Canis lupus familiaris: one gene and its partner. The protein of the gene in region 1 purifies or fractionates together with the protein of each later gene. This does not show direct contact. Links are inferred from orthologs where the notes say so. Each region holds a gene or a part of one and is shown in the gene's direction. Other genes may lie near its edges. The genes, in order: KCNA5 and KCNAB2.

What was found.
Region 2: the proteins of KCNA5 (region 1) and KCNAB2 purify together in Homo sapiens (co-immunoprecipitation; 3 studies listed by BioGRID and IntAct, counting the BioPlex papers as one, with this or other methods). This does not show direct contact. The link is inferred for Canis lupus familiaris from reciprocal best matches to the Homo sapiens genes KCNA5 and KCNAB2.

The regions. Positions count from the first base shown.
Region 1 is NC_049248.1:6,280,041-6,283,869, forward strand, and holds KCNA5 (potassium voltage-gated channel subfamily A member 5), read left to right. Parts: upstream 1-1,420; coding exon 1,421-3,223; downstream 3,224-3,829. UniProt on the Homo sapiens protein: Voltage-gated potassium channel that mediates transmembrane potassium transport in excitable membranes. Forms tetrameric potassium-selective channels through which potassium ions pass in accordance with their electrochemical gradient.
Region 2 is NC_049226.1:60,500,701-60,503,934, forward strand, and holds part of KCNAB2 (voltage-gated potassium channel subunit beta-2), read left to right. Parts: intron 1-486; coding exon 487-607; intron 608-1,021; coding exon 1,022-1,110; intron 1,111-2,173; coding exon of another isoform or gene 2,174-2,263; exon of another isoform or gene 2,264-3,234.

The DNA.
Region 1 (3,829 bases):
TGGAGGGAGCAAGGGCTCAAAGTCCACTGGCTTGGGATTGAATCCCAGCCTCACCACTTTCCCCCTATATGCCCACGAGCAATGTAGTTCATCCTCTGCGTCTCATTTTCCTCACCTATAAAGTGGAGGTAGTAAGAGCACTGAGAGAATACATTGCTATAGGAATACACCAGTCAGTCATTGTAAAGAGCCGACAATGCACCTGGTACATCATAGGAACAAAGTAAGTATTGCTTCTTATTCTGCTCCGTGGAGGCCTCCAACCTTGGGATTCCACAGCCTCCAGGGCCCCACTCCTGCCCCCTACATACCCCCCCGCCCCCCCCCCCCCCCACACACACACAAAGCTGCAGTTGCCAGCTCCAAACTTCACCGGAGAACAGCTCTCTTCCTCTCTTTCTCTCTTACTGGATTTTGCAAACCGGATTTATGCAGAGTGAGGAGTTATATGTCCTCAGGAATAGGAGACCAGGCAGTGAATTTGTCCCACGGGCCATGACTCTCTGGACTGCGAATCAGGGCTGTCCCAGGGCTATGGCAGGGGGTCACTGCCAGCTGTCAGCCGGTTACCTTTGGGTGGGAAGAGAGAGGCTTCTACACCTTGGTCTGGAGGTATCTCCAGCCCTAGGTATCTCTAGATCTATAGATCCCCAGGGCCCATAGCTCTGCCCAGCCTCTTCTTGTCCATAATTCTTCCCCAAGAAGATGGAATGGTTAGTTACTCCTCCAAAGGAGGATTGTAAAAGGGCTGTTATTTCATGTCTCATCCGTCCAACCCAAGGCAGTTCATTTCCCCTGGAGTCCACTTGGCGTTCAGCGGGTTCCCAGGTGAACTGAAATCCACAGCTATTCTCATCTGGTTGCCCTGGGAGTTTTGGCGCTGTCGGTACAACCTGTTCCTTCAGCCTCTCATTCCCCCCCCTCCCTCCCCCCACCTCCAGGCTGCTCCCTTCTCCGCCACACCCCCCCCCCCCAGTCGCCCCAGGCCCCAGCCGTGCCCTCCCTCCGGGGAGACACCCGCTGCTGGAGACCCAGGAGGGGACGCGGGGGAAGGAGGAGGGGAGGGGACGGGGCGGGGTAGGGAAGAGGCGGGAGAGCCGCGCTGGGTGGAGGCCGAGGCCGAGCGCCGCCCCGCAGCCAGAGAGGGGCGGCTGAAGGTTGCATCTGCTGGAAGGAGGCTTTTGGCTGCCTGGTAACGGGCTGCCGGAACGGAGAGCGGAGAGCGAGGCAGCGAGCAGGGCAGCAGCTTCCTGACGTCAGGGCCGAGCCCGGGGATCGCGCCAGCAGCCCCAGCCCGCCCCGCAGGGAGGCCGGCCGACGGCTGGAGAAGAGCCTGAGCCACGCAAGGCGCCCAGCCGGGCGCGAGCGGGGGCTCGGACGCCGGTCAGTGGGGGCGCAGCATGCCCCCTGCCCCCCGGCCATGGAGCTCGCCCTGGTGCCCCTGGAGAACGGCGGGGCCATGACCGTCAGGGGAGGAGGTGAGGCCCGGGCAGGCTGTGGCCAGGCCGTAGGGGGGGAGCTCCAGTGCCCCCCGACGGCTGCGCGCGGCGCCGGCCCCAAGGAGCGGGAGCCCAGGGAGCGCGGCCCGCCGAGGGGAGCGGACCCCGGAGCGCGGCCTCTGCCAGCGCTGCCTCTGCCTCGACGGCTGCCCCCGGAGGACGAGGAGGGAGACGGCGACCCCGCCCTGGGCCTGGCGGAGGACCAGGTGCCGGGCCCGGGCTCGGGGTCCTTTCACCACCAGCGCGTCCTCATCAACATCTCCGGGCTGCGCTTCGAGACGCAGCTGGGCACCCTGGCGCAGTTCCCCGACACCCTCCTGGGGGACCCGGCCAAGCGCCTGCGCTACTTCGACCCCCTGCGGAACGAGTACTTCTTCGACCGCAACCGGCCCAGCTTCGACGGCATCCTCTACTACTACCAGTCCGGGGGCCGCCTGCGGAGGCCGGTCAACGTCTCGCTGGACGTGTTCGCCGATGAGATCCGCTTCTACCAGCTGGGGGACGAGGCCCTGGAGCGCTTCCGCGAGGACGAGGGCTTCATCAAGGAGGAGGAGAAGCCGCTGCCCCGCAACGAGTTCCAGCGACAGGTGTGGCTTATCTTCGAGTACCCGGAAAGCTCCGGGTCCGCCAGGGCCATCGCGATCGTCTCGGTCTTGGTCATTCTCATCTCCATCATCACCTTCTGCTTGGAGACCTTGCCCGAGTTCCGGGACGAGCGCGAGCTGCTGCGCCATCCCCCGGGGCCCCCCCACCCCCCTGGGCCCGCCCGGGGGACCAACGGCAGCGCGGCCCTGGCGCCCGCCTCGGGCCCCACGGTGGCGCCTCTCCTGCCGCGGACCCTGGCTGACCCCTTCTTCATCGTAGAGACCACGTGCGTCATCTGGTTCACCTTCGAGCTGCTCGTGCGCTTCTTCGCCTGCCCCAGCAAGGCGGAGTTCTCTCGGAACATCATGAACATCATTGACGTGGTGGCCATCTTCCCCTACTTCATCACCCTGGGCACCGAGCTGGCCGAGCAACAGCCAGGCGGGGGAGGGGGTGGCCAGAATGGGCAGCAGGCCATGTCCCTGGCCATCCTCAGAGTGATCCGCCTGGTCCGGGTGTTCCGCATCTTCAAGCTCTCCCGCCACTCCAAGGGGCTGCAGATCCTGGGCAAGACCTTGCAGGCCTCCATGAGGGAGCTGGGCCTGCTCATCTTCTTCCTCTTCATCGGGGTCATCCTCTTCTCCAGTGCCGTCTACTTCGCAGAGGCTGACAACCAGGAGACCCACTTTTCCAGCATCCCGGACGCCTTCTGGTGGGCAGTCGTCACAATGACCACGGTAGGCTATGGGGACATGAGGCCTGTCACTGTGGGGGGCAAGATCGTGGGCTCGCTGTGTGCCATCGCCGGGGTCCTCACCATCGCCCTGCCTGTGCCCGTCATTGTCTCCAACTTCAACTACTTCTACCACCGGGAGACGGACCACGAGGAGCAGGCCGCTCTGAAGGAAGAGCAGGGCAGCCAGAGCCAGGGGACAGGGCTGGACAGCGGAGGCCCTCGGAAGACCAGCTGGAGCAAGGGGTCCCTGTGCAAGGCTGGAGTGTCCCTGGAGAATGCAGACGGAGCCCGAAGGGGCAGCTGCCCCCTGGAGAAGTGTAACCTCAAGGCCAAAAGCAATGTGGACTTGCGGCGATCCCTCTATGCCCTCTGCCTGGACACGAGTCGGGAAACGGATTTGTAAGGGGGAGCCCCGGCAGAGTGGTGGTAGTGGGGTGGGGATAGCAGAGACCTCCTGAGCCGGGGTACTGACTTTATACCACGGAGTATTTCAAGCCCACCTTGAAGTCTGTCCCTCTTTAGACTTCTCTCCTTCCCTCCCTCCCTTGATCCCCCATTTTTCCTCTTCTTTCCATGACACCAAGGGTCGCCTATTTTTAAAAAGTACCACATTCCATGACGCAGGAGCTGTTGAAATGGTGAGCACTACGAAATGGATGTATTTGTAGCCAGTTCCCTATACCCAGCAGAGGGATAACCCAAACAAAAAATGACTTTAAATAGCCAAGATCCCAAGGGATTTTGTAACCCCCTCCATGTGTTCCAAATTTGCTTTACATATGATTTTATTTGTGTATAGGGGAAAATATTATTTTTATGGCTGGTGAGTGGATTTTTGTACTGTAGTTCAGATGGAGATATTTTGGATACATTTTCCAGAAATGCTGTATTTATGGAAGAGGGAGTTATTGTGATGTTTTTCTGTGATAATTCTATTAGAGCCAGAGACCCTGGTTATGGCTGTTCTGGTTCCTGTTGTCTGTAAGCCTCTCTGTTTTCTGGGATCTGG
Region 2 (3,234 bases), on another chromosome or scaffold:
GCACAGACACACCTCTGGAGGATCCCAAAATGCAGGGCTTGAGGGATGAGGAGCAGGCAGAGAAAGGCCTGCCCAGGTCGGGGCAAATCCCGCTGCACGGAGCCCCGGGCCTCGGGTTCAAGGGCAGGATGGCCTGTCCACCCACTCCTGCCCCATCCACAGCAAAGTCAGGGAGTCCCCTGGAAAGCGTTGCAATCCCGTGGGTTGGGGCAGGTGAAACCACAGCTCCCCCAGACCTTTGGGCCACAGGCCAAAGCATTCCTCGCCAGGCTGCCAGGCTCTTTGCCTGGCTCAGGGGCCCCACAGGCTTGCGCTTTCAGACTAGACAGGCCCCATGCTTCTGACTGCCCGGGCCTGTTCTGCAGTGGGACACGGTTAGGCAGGGGGGCGGATGCTGCTTTGGCACAAGCCATCAGCCATCTGCATCCAGAGGTCCAGGTGCCCTGCCCTCACCTGTAGGCTGTGCTCTTCACCCTCCACAACCAGGGTTACCAGTGGCTGAAGGACAAAATCCTGAGTGAGGAGGGCCGGCGCCAGCAGGCCAAGCTGAAGGAGCTGCAGGCCATTGCAGAGCGTCTGGGCTGCACACTCCCCCAGCTAGCCATAGGTAACAGGACCTGGGGTGAGGGTGGGGGTGGAGGGGGAAGGATTGAGTACTGGCCCTGGGGCTATGTCAGGAGTCCTTGAGTGCCTGGGCGGGCCACTGCCTCCCTTAGCCAGTAGGTAATAGGGCCCCTACATTCATGGGGAGACAAGGGTGGGGGGTCGTCCCTGAGCACTTGGTCCACTTCTCCCCCTGGACGCTGTTGGTACCAGGCCTCTCCCAGAGCCCTCTGCAGCCCCATCCCCGGCAAATCCCCCACCCAGCATGCCAAGCGGCAGGCTTGCCAGGGACCTTCTGGGCACCCTCAGCCCCATGGCCCACAGGCTGGATCTCTGTGGCCCAGTTAGGGACAGGGAAGAACCAGGAAGGGCCCCTGCCCTGGGTGTGTCTCCCTCACCTCTGGTTCTACTGCCCCAGCCTGGTGCCTGAGGAATGAGGGAGTGAGCTCTGTGCTCCTGGGTGCTTCCAGCGCAGACCAGCTAATGGAGAACATTGGAGCAATACAGGTGAGTTGGGGGGCTCTGTGCATGTGCATGTGTCACCCCCAAGCCCTTGAACCGAACTCAAGGTCCTAGTCAGTCATTCGTCCAGCCCATGTTCTTGGGCACCTACAATGGGCCGGGCACTGTTGTAAGTGTCCGGGCTACATCAGCGAGCCACCAAAAGTTCTGCTCTGGAAGAGCAGACAGTGAGCTCTGAATGCAAGAAATGAGGAAATTGGAATATGAAGGTGATAAGCACCAGAGCAAGGGCAGGGGAGTTGGTGGGCGCAGAAGGGAGGTGGTGCTGTGGTCCAGGCTGAAGGGGGTCAGGGGTAGGCTTGCTGAAAAAATGACATGTAAGCAAAGGCTCCAAGGGTGAGGAGTGGCACCTGCAAACCCCTGGAGGAACCGCCGGGAGCAAAGGAGGCGCCGGTGGGTGTGGCCTGGAGCAGAGGGGCGGGGCAGGGGAAGGGGGGACTGTGCCCAGGGTTCTAGGGACTTCGTTGGTTGTTGGGTGAGCAGGAGCCCCCGCTCCAGAGCAGAGGAGGGCCTGATCCCTCTCCCCCTAGCTGCTGAGTGGAGGAAAGCCTTTAGGGAAGAGGAGGAGGGCACGGAGAGATCTGCAGGGAAGTGACAGGAGGCCTCCTCGGAGAGGGTTGGATCCTGGATGTTCAGGACTGTGAGGCCAACGGGATGGGGACCAGGGTGAGCACAAGAAGAGGCTGCCCACAGGCTTGCGTTACCTGCAAGGATGGCCTTGCTGTTGGTTGAAGTATGGAAGGCTAGGAAAAGTAGTTTAGGGGTGAAGGTATCAGGGGTCTGGCCCTGGAACCTGTATTTTATGCCTTCTAGACTGTTCTAGAGCATTCTGGAGCTTGAGGCGCAGAGATAAACCCAGGCAGGCTTCCTCTCTGCCCCAGAACTTGTGGAACACAGAAGCAGCCTAGTGCCCACCTGCTTGGGCGAGAGTCTGATGCGATGAGGCGGGCCAGGCCAGCAGTGGCCCGAAGACTGTCACCCAGCCTCCTCCACAGGCCGGGCCAGTCTCGCGGGTGGGATTCTGATTAGCTCCTGTCCTCGCACGCAGGTCCTTCCGAAACTGTCGTCTTCCATTATCCACGAGATTGATAGTATTTTGGGCAATAAACCCTACAGCAAAAAGGACTACAGATCCTAAGAAGCCCCCGGCCGCTTGCCCGGACAGTTTCTCTTTCCCTCCTAGTCTCTCTGTTCGCTCGCTTAAGCCGTTTTGAAGCCAAGTCAGGGGTGTGGTTTGCATCAAACAGAAAACATCACGGCAAGATGTCCTCCTCGTGGGGAAAAGATCTCAAAAGTTGCTGCAAAACACCATTCACTGCTTCGCGGGACCGAATTCAGATCCGTGCCGGGGAGGCCGCGTTGATGGGGCAGGATGTTGGAGCGGTCCCGCCCGAGCCCGCCTACAGCCTCTACTCCCCCTCCAAGAAGAAAGCACCCCAGTTGCTCCCAGCCTCCGCCTTTCCCAGAGATGCCTCCAGGCCTGGCCTGTGTCCTGGGGGCAGCAGGGCTGGCCTCTCATCTGCTGAGAACCCCCACTTGGTGTTGGGGGTGGGAAAGAGGAAACCAGGGCTGGCCCTTCCTGTGGCCCCCTCTGCTGGGGCACTGGATGTTGGGCAGGGCCTCCCCAGTGGGGTCCCCCTCCACTTCCCTCTTGTCAAGGGCTCCCAGGATTTTACGATGGGCCTGACCTCAGATTCATTCTGCGCCTTCTTCAGCACCACCACCTGCCCCAGCAGGTCTCTCTGGGGCCTTCCGTGCTGTCCCTTGGCCCCCACCCCCACCCTTACTGGCAGGGGCAGAGATCCAGGGGGATTCACTATCAGTTTGGGGCCCATGGGAATTTTGGGGGTCTGAGTTCATCACCCTGCCAGCTGCCTCCCTGCACACAGTTGATGAGCCTCGTGCCCAGAGCAGCCCCAAGCCCACGGGAGGGGTCTGAGGAGCTGGCTCCAGCCCAGGTCCCTCCAGGGCCCCACTGTCCTCCTTGCCAGGGGCTCTGTCCTTACCCCAGAAGGCCTTGAGGTCGTGCATCCGTAGCTAGACACTGGGTTTGACCACATGCAGGGCAGCCCACTCTGCTCTGCCTGGGTTGTGGCCCTCAGGGATGCA